Linked DNA regions of Callithrix jacchus. The protein of the gene in region 1 interacts with the protein of each later gene in a biochemical or structural test. Links are inferred from orthologs where the notes say so. Each region holds a gene or a part of one and is shown on either strand. Other genes may lie near its edges.

What was found.
Region 2: the proteins of SIAH1 (region 1) and POU2AF1 form a complex in vitro, tested with the Homo sapiens proteins (2 studies listed by BioGRID). The link is inferred for Callithrix jacchus from reciprocal best matches to the Homo sapiens genes SIAH1 and POU2AF1.
Region 3: the proteins of SIAH1 (region 1) and SNCA form a complex in vitro, tested with the Homo sapiens proteins (3 studies listed by BioGRID, with this or other methods). The link is inferred for Callithrix jacchus from reciprocal best matches to the Homo sapiens genes SIAH1 and SNCA.
Region 4: of the proteins of SIAH1 (region 1) and HIPK2, one has a biochemical effect on the other in vitro, tested with the Homo sapiens proteins (4 studies listed by BioGRID, with this or other methods). The link is inferred for Callithrix jacchus from reciprocal best matches to the Homo sapiens genes SIAH1 and HIPK2.
Region 5: the proteins of SIAH1 (region 1) and SNCAIP form a complex in vitro, tested with the Homo sapiens proteins (2 studies listed by BioGRID, with this or other methods). The link is inferred for Callithrix jacchus from reciprocal best matches to the Homo sapiens genes SIAH1 and SNCAIP.

What each region holds. Positions count from the first base shown.
Region 1 is NC_133521.1:6,077,585-6,081,557, forward strand, and holds the start of SIAH1 (E3 ubiquitin-protein ligase SIAH1), read right to left. Parts: upstream 2,810-3,973; 5' UTR 2,348-2,809; coding exon of another isoform or gene 2,257-2,347; 5' UTR 2,177-2,256; coding exon of another isoform or gene 2,146-2,176; 5' UTR 2,078-2,145; coding exon 1,897-2,077; intron 1-1,896. UniProt on the Homo sapiens protein: E3 ubiquitin-protein ligase that mediates ubiquitination and subsequent proteasomal degradation of target proteins.
Region 2 is NC_133511.1:11,074,370-11,078,409, forward strand, and holds the start of POU2AF1 (POU domain class 2-associating factor 1), read right to left. Parts: upstream 2,804-4,040; 5' UTR 2,706-2,803; coding exon 2,690-2,705; intron 1-2,689. UniProt on the Homo sapiens protein: Transcriptional coactivator that specifically associates with either POU2F1/OCT1 or POU2F2/OCT2. It boosts the POU2F1/OCT1 mediated promoter activity and to a lesser extent, that of POU2F2/OCT2. It recognizes the POU domains of POU2F1/OCT1 and POU2F2/OCT2.
Region 3 is NC_133504.1:107,752,587-107,756,100, reverse strand, and holds part of SNCA (alpha-synuclein), read right to left. Parts: intron 2,041-3,514; coding exon 1,898-2,040; intron 1-1,897. UniProt on the Homo sapiens protein: Neuronal protein that plays several roles in synaptic activity such as regulation of synaptic vesicle trafficking and subsequent neurotransmitter release.
Region 4 is NC_133512.1:107,576,297-107,580,533, reverse strand, and holds the start of HIPK2 (homeodomain-interacting protein kinase 2), read right to left. Parts: upstream 2,810-4,237; 5' UTR 2,462-2,809; coding exon of another isoform or gene 2,437-2,461; coding exon 2,418-2,436; intron 1-2,417.
Region 5 is NC_133503.1:86,899,104-86,902,617, forward strand, and holds part of SNCAIP (synphilin-1), read right to left. Parts: intron 968-3,514; coding exon 102-967; intron 1-101. UniProt on the Homo sapiens protein: Isoform 2 inhibits the ubiquitin ligase activity of SIAH1 and inhibits proteasomal degradation of target proteins. Isoform 2 inhibits autoubiquitination and proteasomal degradation of SIAH1, and thereby increases cellular levels of SIAH.

The DNA.
Region 1 (3,973 bases):
AATCGGCACTCTGTAACCACAGAATCTGCATCTGAGGACTTCACCAGCCATGGATTGAAAACATTCAGAAAAATTTTAAAATAATACAAAATTTTTAAAATAAAACATATATAACTATTTACCAGCCATGGATTGAAAATATTCAGAAAAATTTTAAAATAATACAAAATTTTTAAAATAAAACATATATAACAACTATTTACCTATTATTTACATTGTATTAAGTGTAAGTAATCCAGAGATAAATTATACAGGAGAATATGCACAGGTTATATACAAATATGATAACATGTTCTATCAGAGACTTGAACATCCTCAGGTTTTGGTATGGGGAAGGGGATCCTGGAACTAATCTTCCGAGGATACCACGGGATGAGTGTAGTTCAAATGCCTTCCATTAACTCTTCTTAATGGTGAGCAGTTACCTACTCTAGAGGTGTAATTTAGGAATGAGGGGAGGGATCACAAGGGGAAAGATCTGCTGCCATCCCCTTTATCTATCAATCTGCCCCCCAAATTATCATCAGCCAGGTATTGATCTTCTTTCCTACTGATCAGTGCCCACCTCAAGAGTGAGGGGATGTACTCTCTAGTGAAGGTAGCAAAAATATAAAAATAAATAAAAACACAGCAAAAGTGAAGGGAGACGTGGGAGAAATGGAGAGCCATCTCAAATAAAACTTTTTGGTGTCGTAGAGAAAGCATATCTTTCTCTATTTGCAATCCACAATATAAATCAGACATAATGAACAAAGAAGGAGAGTCAGGGAGAAACTGAACAGGGGAAGAATACAGATAGCACGGCAGAGACACACCACACTGGGAGTGGGGGATGGAGTCAACAGGTGTAGAACCCCTTAGCCTAGGGTTCTCCAGCGTTGTTTAAACATTCATCAGCAGACTAATCAACATTATTTGACAGATAAATGTCATCTGGAAGAAATGATCGACAATGTAACTAGTCAGGCTGAGTCAAAGATAAAACAAGTAACTCATCCCAAAGAGCTCCCTGGGCTGGGATATAGGAGGCCACTATTTGTCTTGGGGGTGAAAAAATAGATCGGTCGATGTCCTAAGAATACACTCCTAGTAACTATACTAAGCCATATTCTTACAAAGTTAAAGCCTTAAAGTTAATGTTTTATCTCAATTATAGTCATTATTCTGTTGCAAGAAACTTTTGAGAAACAATGTTAGTTACCAATATGACCAAGTAAATGCAACTTGGGTTCTAGATTACTCAGGTGGTTACCAACTGATACCTTAAATGAAGGCTGAGGGTGAAGGAAAAATAAAGATTAATTCCACATCACTAAAGATATATTTTAAAGTTCAAGAGGCAACAAAAGTGACAATTCCATCATAATGTGTCTCATCATATAGACTCAGATCATGAATCAACTCTCATCTGAAGCCCTGTGTAACCCAGGTGTTCTGTACCCTGACAAAAGGACTGTAAAGGAACTCTCCTGTAATCCGGTTTCCCTGAGTGGATTCTTTGTACATACGATGATCCATACATTTTATGTCACTTGTAAAACAGTGGGCTCAGCATTGCCAAAACATCCTGGCTGTATGCTGTATGCCTACTGCATGGTCCAGTTTATGCTGCTTACTGAATTAACAGCATAACAATTAGAAAGTGTTTCCTTGGGCACAAAACAGTCTAGGCAACCAATACCTTTCAAATTACCAAACCAAACCAGAGAATCACATCCAAGGGCAGTAAACTCAGTTTATATTTAACACAACACAGCTACAGACCAATCAAAACATTATTTTTCAATTTCTTGACCTAGCAGTAGTTATACATTTATCATCAACAGTTCAGGCTCACATTACAATATATCTTTATCATTTTCCAAACACTGTAATAAAGCAGATTTTAACTCTTACTCAAAGTGTGAAAACCGAAATGGGAACAGGATTTCTTGTAAATGGAGGTATACAGGACAGCAACTGCTAAAGCCTCTCCAAGCTCCAAAGGTGCTACCCAGCTCCATCTTGAAACAGAAAAGGAATCCCAACCACACAGCCGCCCTGCAGTAGGAACCAAGGACAGCCCTGCAGAAGTCATGACGTAACCTGAAGTTTGATTTAAACAGAAAAAAAGCACAACAGCCCAAATGAAACATGACTGCTAACCTAGGAAACAGCTCGATTCTGCTGCAGCCATTCCGTAAGCCAGGCAGGTTCCACTGACTAACAGCGTTCAAGTTTCACAGCCTCAGCAACCCATCCTGTTAATGTCAATACCTTTTCTCTTCCTTGTCCTAGTCGCCGGTAAACATGTGAACAAGACTCCCCTCCAGGAGTAAAGAGAAGGTGGAATAGGCTTTCCCGTCATGAGAACTCAGGCAGCTCACTGCCTTTTCCAAGAAGTAAAGGTACAGGACCCTCCTGGGCACTTTCTGCTCCTAAACACAAAAGACCCAAATTGGCGTCTGAGGTCAGGATCCAAATATCGTTTCACTTCTCAGAAGCACCAGTTACAGAGGTGGAGAAAGAAAGCCTTTCCATCCCCAGGAGGCAACCACACCTCCCCGTGAGCTCAAATTCGGCTGCATCTCCGAAAATGGGAGCCACAGCTGCGCTGTCCTCCACCATGCCCTAAGCCTTCGTCTGTCTCCCAAGTTTGTCTTCTCCAGATTCACTGGGTAGGCTCCTGCTCGGCTCTGGTGGAGGGGTGACCCGCTGGCTGAGAAGGAAGTACGCTCCCTGAGCCAGCTCAGGGGCTACTGCAGGAGCCCGCCTGCCGGGAGAGCCATTTGGAGCCTCGGCCAGCTGGGGATGGGCCTGCGCCGGGAACGCCCGCTCCAACCAGGAGAGCCAAGGGCCAGTCCAGGGCGCGCAGCGTGCAGGGCGGTGCCCGTCTCGCTCGCGCAGAGGTGGGGCCGTGCCCGCAAGCCCCGCCCCACAACCCAGGGCGGGGCCGCGGGACCCCGCAGCTCTGACCCCGTGCCACCCCGCCATGGACCCCACCCCGCCATGGACCGCATACCACCGCACCCCAGCGACATCGAGCCTTCCTCAGCATTTCCACCAGTTTAAAGTTAGGTGGAACCATGCCGTTTTCGGTGTGTCAGAACAGTCTCATATCAGGAGTTTCTTACGGTTTCAATCTAAGAGCTACAGCGTATCTTGAAATGCGTGGCCACACTGGCGCTCCGCTCTACGTTTATCCGAACTCTAAAATTTTGGAGTGAAAACATTCTCCCTAATTCATTCAACAGCTATTTACTGGCATCAACTACTAATTTCCTCAATTCTAGCTCACTTCACTTCTCCTATCGGTAATGTATTTTAAATTCCCCTTCCCCGCTGCGAAAACACTTTGCAGGAAAAGTAGTAAGCATACTTCTGCCACATTAAACTCCTACTTAAACCTCCTAAGAGAGTATACTCTCTTCCCACTCTGGGAAAGCCATCTTAAATGGCCTCATTAAACGCAGAGTAGCTTGTTTTGTTTTTAAACAAGCATTACCCTTGCCCCAATAAAGTCCTGGGCCTCAGATTTGCATTGCATCAGCTAGTGCGTGCAGAGGTTTAACCTGTCATTACATCATGCTTAGGGCAGCCTCTAAATGCAGCAAGAGCTGGCAGAGAGGAATCAACCCAATGTAGGGAATTGCAGATTACCCACTTTCAGCAAGAAATTTTAACTCTAACCACTTCCTCACTCTATTAACAGTGTGTTCAATCACCTCAACCTCATTTTACAATATAGGCTACACAAAAGAGTATTAGGAAAAGAAATATGATTGAAAATAAATACAGTCTACCCCACAGACAAGTTTTTTGTTTTGTTGTTGTTGTTTTTGAGACAGGGTCTCACTCTTGCCCAGGTCTGAGTGCAGTGGCACAATCTCCACTCACTGCAGCCTCGGTCTTTTGGGCTCAAGCAATCCCCTCCCACCTGAATCTCCCCAATCACTAGGCACCACCGTCTTCGGCTAATTTTCTTTATATTTTT
Region 2 (4,040 bases), on another chromosome or scaffold:
CCTCAGGCAAATTTCAAATCCATTGGTTGAGGCTTGAAGATTTCCACTTCTCCGTGCCAGCAGTTCTGGGCTTTGTCGTGTCATTCTCTCATCTTAACCAAAAGCTCATGTTCACATTTAGTCCACAAACGAGGGTCATGGGCTAGGTAGGGAGGAGGCAACCTTCACAAAGTGAATGTTTTCTTAACCCTTTCCAGAACCCCATAGTACAGTCATTTCAGCTCATGCCTCGAGGATGTTTTCTGAAAAAAGAAAGTGCCCTTTCAGCACTCTTGGTGTCTGATTTCAAACCCTGCCCTTCCATCGGGTGTTTGTAAGTGGGCTGACAATGCTGCCCTGTTTTTACTGATTTTCCCACAGGGTTTAGTCACCCAGGTGCTCTCTATACCACATACTTGGGTTCGGGTTAAGGGGATGGGTCTAGAGCCCAGGGCCTCTACACTACTTTCCTTTAAGGCTTAAAGGACAATTCAAGGTAACTTTGATTTGTGTTCATCTGAACATGTGGAAACATTCACCCCAATTATTCCACTGATGAGCTTACAATGTGGTCTCCCTTACAATGGAGTTTTTCTCTACCTGACTGGTCTCCAGGGTGTGAGCAGGAAGCATGCCCTCCAGCATCCCCTTTAAAAAAAACCTGGGGCCGGGTGCAGTGACTCATACATGTAATCCCAGCACTTTGGGAGGCAGAAGCTGGTGTATCACTTGAGTCCAGGAGTTCGAGACCAGCCTAGACAACATAGCAAACACTATGTCTACTAAAAATACCAAAAAAAAAATTAGCTGGGTGTGGTGGCAGGCACCTATAGTTCCAGCTACTTGGGAGGCTGAGGTGAAAGAATCACTTGAACCTGGGAGGCAGAGGTTGCAGTGAGCCGAGATCACGCCACTGCACTCCAGTCTCAGCAACAGAGCAAGCGTCTGTCTCAAAAAAAAATCTGTTCATCTCTTAGAAGGAATTAGAAATGAAAAAATTGAGTACGGAACCAAGGGGGGAAAATATGGCAGATTGTATATGCAGGGAAGCAACTCACATCTCAGAGGCTGACACAGACAGAGTGTGAGGTGCCACTGAATGTGACTTCAGTGGCACCTCACTTACTAAGGGTACATCCTCAGAATGGGTATGATTTTTTACCCCCACTTTACATAGGAAAAACCTAAGGATTGAGAAAAAGGAAAGTGACTTGCTTATAGAAGGTAGGCACCAAGGCAAAACTCCCTCCAGGGGCTCACACAAACATCAAACAATTCAGCCCTCAGCGAAAAAGCACACAGATGCTTAGAAGCCCCTAGCAAAGAGATGAAGGCCCACCTGCCCTCATCCACAGAGCACTCACAGCAGGGTCAGCTGCCACTGTCCCGGGAAGGATAGGCTGTCGCTGCTCCATCGCTTGCTGGCAGGAGTTGCATGCCAACCATTCTGGAATATTCCTAGTTATCTTGGGAGGAGCTCATAACTCTCAAACCCAAATTAAAGTTCATTTCTCTTTATTTTAAAAAAAAAATGCATCTTACTGATATCAAATAATGGTGGGGCTTCACAAGCTGAGAAATTTTGAAATCACTCTTCTGTATTACTTGTTAACCAGCTGAATTCCAGAGAATGTACATAAGGCATAAACCAAACGATAAATTGGTGATAAGGTGACAGTGTCACATTTTAAACAGTGAAGTTATATTTTCAGAACTTTAATGGATCTAATCGAGTATCTCTCCATAAAAAGAAACACTCCCTAACTTATCTTTTTCTGTAAATCTAGATTCTTTTATATTAAGCTTGCTTGACACAGAGCGTACTTAAATTAATTAAAAGGCGTTTTAATGAACTAAGAATCTTTAAGAAAAAGAGCAATTTTTGGTCATTCTTCTTGCTTGAGGAAATATAGATCTAAGCCCCAATAAGGTTTGACTCTCAGAGGCTAATGTTGACTTTGTTTACCTCATGAAAAGAATGTTGTAACTAATCTGTATGATTTCAGTTATGAGTAAGGCAAGTTGCTTTTTGGTCCACATAAAGGAAAATAAAGATCACAGTTGTCCCGTGCAACTCCAGGGAGAAAAATCAAGGCCAAAGATAAACCCACTGCTCCCTTTGCAGTGGGATAGACAGGCCTTGCCACAGAAGGGGAAAAGGAGTGGCAAAAGGCAAGACAGTGGAGCGAGTGAAAAAAAAAAAAGGTCTCCACTCCTCCACGGGTATCCACACGAACAAGTCATGCCCTGGCAGAAAGCCAAGTCACTCGGCTGGAAACAGGCCCAGGGGATTCCACAGCAGGCTGAAGAGCCGCGGCTTCTGGAAATAAAGCCCCTCCTGTGAAGAACTGCATGGCTTTTCCTCCCAGCCCCAAGCCCACCCCACATCTGGCTTTTGTTGTGTGAATCACAAACCGCCCTGTCTTCACCGCAGTGATTCATGCACAGGAGCGAGGTACCCCGGGCCCGTCCCACCTTGGAACACTAGTTCGTTCCCCTCCAGCCTGGAAAATCAGCATCACCTCTGACAGGCTGGTTTCTCCACCAGGCTCCATGCCGCCCACCTCCCCCGCATCTCACTCCCGGCCTTGGAACCCAGGCCCGGGGGTCCCATCCCCTCCACCAGCAGCTCCCCAGTTCCAGGCCGAGCTGTGATCACCCGGCCCCGTGGCCCTCGCTTGGCTCTGACAGCCACCGCCGAACCACTTACGTTTTTGCCAGAGCATGGCCTGTGACAGGATGTTGCCTTTTCTCTTTGAAGCCGACAGTCTGGCTTCTTGAACGTGAGACCGGGGTGTGCTTTCCTCCAGTGGAGCCACCGCTTGTGCTGAGGCTGTTTCCTGGGCTTTTTAAAGGCCTGGGTTCCCGCTGCGTGGGGCGCGTCATCACGTCCTCCCACCTCAGGCACGGGTGCAACGTTTCTGCAACCAGGCCTCGGGTCACCCCACTGCGCGCGCCCCAGCCGCCCGGGCCCAGAGTGCTCCCCACCAGGAGCCAGCCAGCTGGGACAGAGCAACAGCGCAGCGCGGGCGGCCACAGCCTGCCCCGGCCCCACGGGGACCTGCTGGGTGTGGGTGTGAACGTGGTGTGGGGCGAGCTGTGGGGACCCCACGTCTAGCCCTCCCCAGGCCAGTGATGAGCCCAAAAGCCCCTCTGGAAAACGTTGGGCTTTGCATAGCGCCCGTGCAGGCTTCCAAGCCACCAGGGCATGGGGTAGGACTCAGCCCGCCATGGGTGCCTGCTGTGCGGGAAATGCGATTCCCAGGGGTCACTGGTTCTCGACACGGAGGAAACACCTGTCATCTCATCTCTTCAAGCCTCAGTAAACAACCTTCTCATTCTTTTAATATTGCTTTTCTGTTTATTCCATTTTGAAACACAATAGCCCCTCCCCTCGCCCCCAGCCACCCCCAAAATGGCAAAGCTTAATCATGCTGAAATATGGGGGCGCTGGTTTTGATGGCGGCTATGCCCACGAAGAAAGCGGCCAACCCTCTCAGGGAAGAAAGGAGACTGTGCCCGTGCTTTTTGACTGGAGCTGGGCTTGTAGTCACAGGATGAACAGGGCCTCTCTGCGGGTGCCCACCCACTGGTAACAGGAAGCTTCTTGAAGTAAAAGTCATGAGTTCACCCCCTGGAAGTGTAGAGGGTGTTGGTGACCAGCTCCTTCCCAGTTCGGAAGTCTTCTGCCACTGCATACCTGAGGTCCACATGCTCAGGCTCCAGGGACTCAGCCAGTTTGGGGTCAAGACCCCTTGGTTACCACCCCTCGAGCAGGTGTGAGGCCTTGCTGTTCTGCAGTCCATAGTGTCTCAGAGCCATCTTGCACCACCTAGACCTGATCATGCTATCCTCCAGCCTACAAAGCATTCACCTCCCTTCAGCCACAGAGCTGGGGCCTCGAAGGACTCCCACTATCGAGCCCTTGCCTTCCTTTCCAGCCTCACCACCCACTGCCCTCCAAACACTGGTCCCAGTGCCCTCTGAGCACCACCGAACACCCATGCAATTCCCTCCTTCGACCTTGTCGTCTCTCTTGCTGGGAGGACAAACCCCTTAGC
Region 3 (3,514 bases), on another chromosome or scaffold:
TCCCTCTTACCTTGTGAAATCTTACAAAGCTATAAATAGAATTATAATTTTAGATGAAAACCAGGACTAAAATTATTATCCCTAATAAGATCATTTGAAAAGCATATTTTGTACAAAGGGGTACCATCATGACCAACAATGCATTCAAGCATTGGCTGAAGAACTTCACTAGAAGCCCAGTCAGGATTTGCCATAATTAGCATTCATCACACCAGACAATAGACATGTAACTACATGTACTAAATTTAAATATATCACAGATATTTTTGTTCTGCCTTTTTATTATAAGTGCTTTAATGGGCTATCAAGGTAAGACTGCTACCTAGGATTACATGAAGTGGAAACAACTCAGAATAGTTTGCCAGCAAATAAAACTTCTTTCTCACAATTTTCAAGATATTCATCCAAAATCATTTTGGTTGGAACTAGTGGATGGCTGAATAGCACTGTTCTTATACTAAGCATACGATTATAAAAGACGCAGAAATAAAAGTCATTCTGCTTACTCACTTATCTCCTTCCTTCCTTCCCTAATTTAATAAATGTTTGTAAATTGTCTAGTACAAGTTGGAAACTCTCCTAGACACTTGTGAACTATCAGTAAAAAATGTAAATATATTTCACTCTCATGGTGCCTACATTCTAGAAGGGAAAAATAAAATAAACAACATACATTAAAGTAAGCATATTATTTATTGTATTTAAAGGTGATGAACACTTTGGCAAGGAAGGAAGGAAGGAAGGAAGGAAGGAAGGAAGGAAGGAAAGAAAAAGACTAGGGAGACTGGGCACACCAGAAGGAAGGAAGGAAGGAAGGAAGGAAGGAAGGAAGGAAGGAAGGAAGGAAGGAAGGAGGGAAGGAGGGAAGGAGGGAAGGAGGGAAGGAGGGAAGGAGGGAAGGAGGGAAGGAGGGAAGGAGGGAAGGAGGGAAGGAGGGAAGGAGGGAAGGAGGGAAGGAGGGAAGGAGGGAAGGAGGGAAGGAGGGAGGGAGGGAGGGAGGGAGGGAAGGAAGGAAGGAAGGAAGGAAGGAAGGAAGGAAGGAAGGAAGGAGAAGGAAGGAAGGAAGGAAAGAAAGAAAGAAAGAAAGAAAGAAAGAAAGAAAGAAAGAAAGAAAGAAAGAAAAGAAAAGAAAAGAAAAGAAAAGAAAAGAAAAGAAAAGAAAGGGACTAGGGAGACTGGGCACACCAGAGGTGAGGAGGACACCAATTTTACATAGGTTAGAGCTAGTTCCATTTTAAATATGGAACCTCATATTGTATTAGTTCCATATTTAAAATGAAAGTTATAATATCTTTGGTAAAATCTTATTTGTGTCCTATATTTGTCAAAAAAAATTCAGTCAAAATTCTTCTCAGAATTTTAAAACTTACCTCAAAAGTATGATCTCTGATTGGTATGTGTTTTAAGTCTCTCAGTTCCCACAAACATGTATTTGGTAATGAACTGTTAAGTAATATGCAAATATGCCATTTAATAAGAGATGATGTCACTATAAAGAAATCAAGTAAAAGAACTCTATTTTGGAAATTAAGAAATTAGGCACAAAGAGATTTGTTATTCCAATGAAGAGAAATTTCAAGACTTATAGTTAACATGAAAGCACTCATTCTTTCTGAAATGTCACACTGTTCCTTTGGCATTTTAATAAATTGTTTGTTTCATTAGCTTTCTTCCAGAAATTGAAAAAATCATGATAATTGTACCATTTGCATGGCGTTTATCTGGGTTAATGCCTGAAGAAAACAAGACCTATATAAAGGTAGCACTTTTTCACAACGGGAGGGTCAGGTAGCCATTTCCCACAGTAAGCATCTTGCTCCCGCCTCCAGGCCTCACATGAAAATGAACCATGATCTCACCAGCTTGTAAATGTAACACAAAGTGTACACAGCCATACCTTGCCCAAGTGGTCCTTTTTGACAAAGCCAGTGGCTGCTGCAATGTTCCCTGCTCCCTCCACTGTCTTCTGGGCTACTGCTGTCACACCCGTCACCACTGCTCCTCCAACATTTGTCACTTGCTCTTTGGTCTTCTCAGCCACTGGTACAAATCAAGAACAACAACAGATTAAAGGGTGGTAGAGTAACACTGACTTAAAATCATTCCACTTCCACTAGCCATCAACTTCTATACACCTGTATTTACACATGCCAAAGACAACTGAGGGGTCAGAAGAAACACAGTAACCAAGATTTCCAAGTCAGTGTGGTTCAAACAAACACTGAATCTTGGCTAAGATGTTTTTGCTATAATCATGCAGTATTAAAAGTGCTTCAAGTTTAATGATCAGGAATGTAAAGCCATGAGTGATTTGGATTTGCTTTATCCTAAGGAAAGTTTAGAGAAAGCAACGCTTACAGGTGCAGTTATAGTTGAACCAGACTCAGTATGAATACTTCATTATTTCAATTCAGTGTCAGTCCTTTGATCTCACACAGCAAGTTTATTTCCATCACACCTTCTTAGCAACACAGTACATACTTCTGAGCTTTTTTATTTTATTATTATTTTTTTGAGACGAAGTTTCACTCTTGTTGCCCAGGCTGGAGTGCAATGACATAATCTTGGCTCACTGCAACCTCCGCCTTTCAAGTTCAAGCAATTCTCCTGCCTCAGCCTCCTGAGTAGCTGGGATTACAGGTGCCCTCCACCACATTTGGCTAATTTTTAAAAATATTTTTATTTTTAGTAGATACAGCATTTCACCATGTTGGTCAGGCAGATCTCAAACTTCTGACCTCAGGTGATCCACCCGCCTCAGCCTCCTTTACAGGCATGACCCACTGCGCCCAGCCCATACTTATCAATGTGTTCAGACACGGTATTATCACATATATATGATTAATAGTATAAGAGATGGCTGTGAAGGAACTTGGATCTTTTTATAGAACTTCAGGTAGTGAAACAGAAGTGTTCTTAAAAAGCAAAATTTGCAGTTATTTTGATAGGCGCAAAGGAGCTAGACAGTATGAAAATGAAGAGGCAATTGAGCACCCTAACAATTTCTTTTCATTAAAGAAAATGTGATATGGTCATTCAGTAGATTTATTTTAGAAAGTTAATGTTTTAGAAGACAATGTAAATAATTTGAATTGGGTTTATAAGCGGAAATTTAATGTCATGTCAAAAATTCTCTTGTTCAGTGAAATCAGCCAGAAACAGAAAGGCAAACACCACATGATCCCACTTATGTGGAATCTAAAGAAAAAAAAGAGTTGATATCATAGAAGCAAAGAGTATAACAGTGGAGGCAAGTGGAGGATGGGGACAGGTTAGTTATATTCTTCCTTAGGTGCTCGTCTAAAAAAATGAAGGCACATTTTCTTGATATGCTTTGTACTCCCCAGATAAGCCACAGTCTGAGAGGAGTTACACCATGTCAGCTGTTTAGTGCTATTCACATGATTACTGTATAGCTTTCATCTCTCCAGTTGAAGAAGCCCATAGTTAAATGGTGTGGGCAAAGCAATTTGTTTTCAAATACATTATGTATGTCATAGAAGCTAAAGGTCTG
Region 4 (4,237 bases), on another chromosome or scaffold:
GCTCTGCTCATTTAACATGCCCACAGGGAGTCCACGTGCTCTGATTGAGACAGGGGAAAAATCAGGTTCCCTGAACCCAGCGGATGTCACTACGGCGGGAGAAAGGAGGTCATCAGAGTCTTGGCACACTCATCGCAGTGAGTGAATGTGGGTCCTAGCAATCTAATCCTTGATTCTAGAGGTCACCTGTCTGTTCTGAGCATATCCAACAGTCTCTTTCAAAAACCCCCGGCCGTGGGCTTTCGGCAGAGTGATGTGGGCTAGTTGAGGTGGGGTGAGAAGGAAGATTAGAAAAAGAATGATAAAGGTGCACAGAGACACACCCGGAATAAAAGGGTGCACAGCGCAGGAATAATGAAGAGGGCACATGGACAAGATGGAGGGAAACCGAGGTCTGAAAAAGGCCACCACGGAGGTCACCTGAGACAGGGAAGGAAGGCTGGCAAATAAAAACAATTCATGAGACCTTTGAGATCCATGAGGATTCTTAAACATAACACCCTACACACCTGCAGTTCTTTATCTGGCTTAAGGAACTGGAGGAACAATGTAGCAGGAACCGGGAGAGGCCAAGTCTCAGCCTCCGGGGCACCGCCTACATTCCATATGGATTTAGAATGAAAGGGGCAGGAGAAGAACAGTGCGGTTCCCAAGATGGCTTTCCATAAAGTTGACAAAATACATCCCAACTCACATACCCGGTCCCTAGTAACAGGGAAACCAGCCGTCTACTATAGTTCTGAATTCAATGCCAAGTTCCTTCTCTCAACTCACCGAGAGTGTCCAGCAGAGGGAGTCTCAAGGAGGTACTTAATAAAGAGAAAATTGTTTCATTTTAACACTCTAGACAGTGGGAGCATTGACTGTAGCCCCCTCCTGTAGACGCAGATGAACAATGAATGGCCGACATGGGTTCTCCCACATGTTCACATGTCCACCGGCATGTTCTATTCTGAGTGGTGGAGTGATCAGAAATTTCGTTTTGTTTTGTCCAACGGTTAAATGGACCTTGTGTTCTTCAGAATCAAAGAGGAAAGCCCCTGGAATAACATCTCTCTGTTGCCTTCTAAACAGCCCCTTTGTTTCTAAGAGAGTCTGAAAAAAAATATTTACAGTCCATAGGTTATTTACAGCCTCGTTATCCAGGGCCTGACTGGTAACTTTATTCCGGCCAGAAATCTAATTCATTTGGAGCCCTGGAACTAATAACAGATTTTCTTTTCAGATAAGTTTTTTTTTTTTAATCAGCCTCTTATAACAGAGATAAAACTATTAATGCCTTCCCTGTCTCACTGGCCACAACTGTTCTCTGGATTTATAGGCGGATTACACTCCCCCCTCATGCCCTCCTCTGTGACACATAAACCCTGTACCCTCTCATTTGCGATTTCACCCCACAGAATATCCGAACAAAACCGAAAGAAAGCCAGGGGGACCCACGCTAAAAGTATGTGAAGGCTGCGATTTCAATGATTTCACGAGACAAACATTTGCACGATGAAACAACAGAAAAATCAGACACACAGGTTTAAAATTCCCCCTACTACAAGCACACAAAAACACATCGAAGTGTAAAAACTTAGTTGATTCTGGGTTGCTTTCTGGCTGGAAGCTGACAGAACGGACCGAAGAGAAACGAAACAGAGTGTGCGAGGCAGACCCACGGCTTCTCCGCCTCGCGTTCTTTTCTTTCTTCCTAAAGGCAGTCAAATGGGGGAAAACACCCCGACGCCAGGTGAAGGTGCACCACACAGGTCGACCCAGACTGAGCCAGAAAAACGTCTCCGCGGCTTCCCCGGCTGGAAAACCCAAAGTCCACGTACCCTTGCACACGCTAATGCGGGGAGATTTTCGCCTGTTTCATTGTTCTGCCTGGCTCTGACATGGACTTTTCATCCCTCTCCTCTCTCCCCACCTAGCCCCGCGCGTTCCGATTCCACGGCCCCCCCCCAAAATCGGAGGCTCGCGGAGAATAAAGGAGCGTGGGGTGGGCGCGGAGAGAAATGGGAAGGGGCGCGGGGCGGAGAGCGAAGTGGAAAGGAGGTGCTCCGAGAGGTAGCGTGGGGGGGCGGTGGAAGCTGAGCCGCAGCACCTTCATTTATCGCAAATAAATAAAAAGCACAGTCACGGGTCCGCCTTCCCTGGCGCCCCTGCCCTCCCCGGGCAGCCGCCCACCCTCGCACACGCCCCCTCCCTTCCCGCGCCCCCGGCCCCTCTCCCCGCCCTGGAAGCGGCCCCGCCGGCGCCGGGTCCCGGTCATCTTCCGGGCGCGGGAGGGGGTCGCGGCCCCCTCGGGCCCCGGGTGGGGGCTGGGGCGGGCGCCGGGGGCTGCGGGCGCGGGGCCGCGGGCAGAACAAAGCTGCGGGGGCCGCGGCGGGGCGGCGGGAGAGGGGTCGGCGGGGCCGGGCGCCCCTTACCTTCGTACACGGGGGCCATCGGGGCCGGGGTGTCCGCGGTTCATGGCAACGGGGACGGGAAAGCGGCGCGCGAGCTCGGCCCCCCCAGCCTCAGTCGGAATCTGCCATCTTGAGCCTGTGTCTCCGCTCTCGGCGCAGCCGAGGCCGCCCGCGCCCGCATCACCGCCTCCCGTGGCCGGCGCCGGGGGAGGGGGCCGGGCGCGCCGCCGCCGCCGCCGCCACCGCCGCTGCCGCCCGGGCCCGGCGCGGGGGGCTCGGGGCTCGGGGCTCGGGGCGGCCGGGCGGGCGGAGCGGCCGAGGCCGAGGCGCCGAGCGGCCGCGGCCCCCGAGCGGGTCCGCGGAGGGGCGGGAGCCGGGGGCAGCGCGCGGCCAGGGCCGGCGGGGCTCAGCTCAGCATGGCTGGGCGCGGGGGCTCCGCAAAAGTTGCTAACGGAGGGGGGCGGCGGGCGGGGGCGGGGCGCGGGGCCGGGAGAGCCACAGGGAGTCCGCGCGCAATCGAGCGCCGATGGCACGGATGCGAGGCGGGGAAGGCCGAGCCGAAGGGCAGAGCCGCGCCGGCGGCCGGAGGGGACCGCGCGGGGAGGGGCGGCCGCGCAGCGCGGAGGGACGGGGCGCGGGGCGGGCCCCGGGGAGCCGCTGGGGGGGCGGCCTGGGCCGGGCAGGCACACGGCTCCGAGCCCAGCGCAGCCAAGCCGGTCCGCAGAGGGGCCCCAGAACTTTGTGTGTGTGTGTGTGTGTGTGTGTGCACGTGTGTCTGTGCGCGCGCGCGCGTGTGTGTGCCAGGGTGCGAGGGTGCGCGCGTGCTGGCCCGGAGCGGAACCGACCCTAAGGAGAGCCCCCGGCTGCAAAGTGGTTCGCCCGTCTCGCAGCCCGTTGGTTCTCGCGGAGGTAGGAGTAGAATGAATGAAGGAAAGAGTGGGAGCGCGCCGTGCTCCCAGGGAGGGCGGGTGAGTGGACGAGCTTCGGAAAGCTACACGAGGTCAGAGGCACCAAGCCCTGCAGTGCACGCCGCGGAAAGGCAGCCCCCGGGGTGGTCGCCGGGTTCCTGCCGGAATCTGGCTTCCAAGACACCCTGATCTTCGCCTCGTCGCGTCTACACTGTCCCGAGCCCCACCCTCCCCGCACCCCATCACTTGAATGGGAGCTCACAACTGTCTGGGTCCTCGCTTGTCTCAGCGCTCTCTCCGATCAGGGCTTCCGCTAAACATTCTCCAAACTCTCCCCAGCTTGGAGCCTCTACAGGTTTGCCTCTCCAGCTGTCTCCCGTGTGCTTGGATAGGATGCCCTGCCATCCCCTCCAACTTAGGAAGACTTGTTGAGTCTCCTCTTAAGCTGTTTTTAAAACTGTGGGTCGTGACACATTAATAAATCATAAAATAAATGCAGCGGACGGCAACCGGCTTTAAAAAAGAATGAAATTGAATCCAATAGAAAATATTAGAATCCACTGCCCTTAGTAAGGGAAACTATTGTTTCATAAACCTTTTGTTTCAATTATAGGTACTGGACAAGTGTACTGGAGCATGATGTCAATTTTATTTCCAACTGTGGATCGTGGGTTTAACAAAGTTGAGAAGCTATCTTTTTAAGGTGTAAAATAATCATCTCTAACACTGTATGACTTTCTTAAATACAACCCGATGATTTTCTCACTACTTCATATCCTTTCCGTTCTCCATCCTCTATTCCCCCCCAAAAAGGCAAGCTGTTTCCCACTTCGTTAGTGGCACATCACAGCCCCTTCCTCTGTGTGATCTTGGACTCCGCCGTCTTCCTTGCCCCCCACAATCAATGCTACACTTCCTACCACTTCTCTCAAC
Region 5 (3,514 bases), on another chromosome or scaffold:
AACCAAAATAAATGCAGCATCATTCTGTTACTAATGAATGCAGCTGATAAAAAACGAGTCTCTAGTCTATTGACATGTATACTGAACTAGATTATACTTACCAGGAGAGAGATCTGTCCTTCTTTAACAATGCTCAAGATGCTTTTTACTTTTTTCAGATACTCACTTCTTTCTTCTGGGCTTTGGGAGCTGGGCCAGTTCATGCTACTGACCTGCTCTTCTTGTTTGGATTCTGCTGCTGAGGATTGCAAGTGGAAGGCCCTGAGCTGGCAGTCTGGTGTTGTCTTCTCAACTTTTCGACCATGAGAATCACTAAATGTCTTGTTTAGGAAGTCTTTACTCTGGTTTTCATATGCAGAGCCACATTTAACCAGAGGAGGTGAGATCTCGGGTTCTTCAGTGGACAGCTTGTGCTGATCGCGGATGACAGCTGATGCTTTTCTCAAGTGAGGGCTTTTCAAGGGAGAAAGAACACAAAATGGTGCCATGTTGGATGGTGAGTTCTCAGAACTTCCTGTAGAGCAGACTTTGCCAGAAAGGCCATTGATGCTTGTGCATAAGCCCAAAATTCTTTTTTCTGAAGTTACCTTGGTAAAAGAGGCAAGCTGCTGACTGGATTTAATATAAGGCACATCCAGAATCTCATCCATGTCAAGGTCATAGTGCTCCAGTTCACCCAGTGGTGTGCTGGGCTCAGAGTTCTTACCTGGTGGGCCGCCCAGTCCATCTCCAGGGCTGAGATCCTCGGGCTGGTGGCCCAGGTCAGACTCACCCCCTTTCTGGTACTCAACCACTTTCTGGTTCTTTTGGTCATCACTTTCATTGTTTTCCAGAGTCTCTGGCTGATGTTTCAGTGGTGAAACACGCTTCACTGGGCGGAACTTACTGTACACATCAGCGATTCCTGTGGGCTTCTGTGTGTTTGTAATAAGAGTTGAGATGCCGCAATTCCAGCTAGAGCTAGAAACTGTTTTTTAAAAATTAAAATAGGAGACTATTAATTTGGAATACTGAACACATCTTGGCTATTTAGGTAGATGTGATTCATTCAAGTTATGTTCAAATTAAGGCTCTGTATATGAGAATGACTTAGAGTGCATGTCCATAGAATAAAAAATTCATACTTACCACTGGAAAACAGTGAATGATAAAAGAAAGTTATAACATACTGGCTCAAAATTAATTAAAGTAGTAATAATGGTAAAAGCAAACAGCCAGGGAAGCAAACTCAGATAGGTATTTAGGTTTATTCCCTGCATAGATCTACCTCCCTGGCAATATTTATATATTTGTCACCATCCTGAAAAACAAGATTACCAAATAAGATCTTCAGTGTTAAATAAACTTCCAAACTAATTTAGGGAGAAAAGGGATGTGTGCACACATGCACACACATTAGCATGCATGTCCACATATACCCTTAATGCTTAAGAAGTTCCATGTAAAGAAGTGGCAAATTATTTAATACTGAGTAAATTCAAACTATGACCTCCTGAGTGACTCCTTAGGTGTACCACTAAGAGGATTATGGAAAGATTAGGAAGAAATGCAGTGGTCAGGAGTTGACAGACTGTGGCAGACAAGACATAGTTGAGTTAAGCCCACCTTGGTCAAAGGATCCTAGTCAACTGTCATGCAGCAGCATTTCATGGTGCTTTCTGACATATGACACAGTGACAGAATGTACTAAGACTTCACAACAGAACATGTTCTTTAAGATTCATACTGCCTTTTATTGTTGAGAAGGCTGGAAGTAAACAGGAGAAGAAAGTTGTGAAAAGAAAATGGGTTAGGCAGAGTGTTTTCTAATTTCTGTGCAAAATTTAGAAAAAGATAGTGTGTTGGTTTGCATTTGATAAGTGTCTGGTTGCGATAGAGTAGAAAGTGAAATAGCCAGAAACACCTGGAGGTGAAAGATAAGAAGAACCATCTCTCCTACTAACCCCTGCATGAGAGGCTGCCTGGTGCCTCCTCTTGGGGCAAGCAGATGGAGCAGCAACAGTCTCCTCAGCCATGATGATGCTGTTTCCTCCCTGGGACACTCCCCTGCTAGGTTAAAGATGACCCCACACCCTTGGAAATGTGCAGGCCACTGACTGATGGGTTCCTAGTTCCCTGCCATGTAGTTCCTATCATCCTTCATCAAAGGATGAGATTTCAGGGCATGCCCTTCAACTAGGGACCTTCCATCTACCCCTTCTCTTCTGAAAAACAAGTGGGAAGGATTTATCCCAAAAGCATGTGTATGTGTGTGTTCTTCACTACCGGGCACAACCAAAGGAAAAAAGAACATGAGATGGGTGGATACTCATGTCTGTAACTTCTGCAATAGCCCCTGGCTTTGACTGATTCTTGGGGTGAAAGTGGAACATACATCATTAAAGTTCTCTAAATTTAAGCTACTGGCCATTCTTTTTCCTGCTGGGATATGTTCTAAAAGGATTCAGAGAAGTTCTGGAACCAAGCTAAGGGGATGACAGTGAGTGCTCTGAGCCTGAATGCTATATAACTATCAGTGAGTTCTTTTCCTTAAATCAACCACAATTTTGCATGAGGTTTCAGAGGGTCTGCACTACGTAGTCCACTTCTCAGACCTTTCTGGCCCTGGCATTTTAGAATCTAAGAAGAGAATACTATGATAAGCTGTGGAAGGAGGGCTGGAGTCTCTCCAATAAGTAATGTGGAAGAGAATGTTCCAGAGGGGAAGGAAGGTATCTAGATGGTCTTAGGCTGTTGCTTTTCTTCCCTTTTGTTGGCTCTAGTTCCTTGTTGTACACAGTGGTTGGCACAGATCAGACAATTAACAAATGCCAGTATGTGAATTTGAATCTCACTTTGCACAACACGTTAAATCTTCTAAAATGCACAAAGTGCATCCTTCTGCGGGATTTACAGTTGAATTTCACAGGGGACAAAACCCTGTTAATAAACTCAGCAGAGTGATAATCACCAGTAAGAGCCCAATTTGCTAAAGTTATTTATGAAATGTAAATATGCAAAGGCAAAGACTAATTCCAGTTGGTCTCTTATAAATTTAAAAGTTTTCTATCTCTTACATGACCTTTTCTCTCTAAAAATATAAAGCCATGAAAAATTAATGTCTGCCAGAAAATTCTGCCAAGTCTTTCTCTTTTCAAGAACACATGGTTACTTATTTAATTAAAACAGCAGGAGATAGTGGACATAGAGTTTATAAGATGTAAATATGCCTTTAATTTTATTCATCAACTTTCTGCATATCTTTAAATAAAATGGGAAAAAATTTTACTCATAGACATTTCTGAGATACACTGTTATTATTGGGTATATTTGCTAATATTTTGCCGATTACCTTGATTTCTTTGGAACCTCTAGAAAATGGGCATCTCAGAATGTAATAAAAAATTTTAAAGCCACATAACTTAGTAGGTCAATACAAAGAATGCATTGTACCAATATATTTATGTATTATATGAGGTCGTAGGTTCAAAGGGCTACTCTTTTATGTTGGCTTTATTTACATGTGAAATTTTTT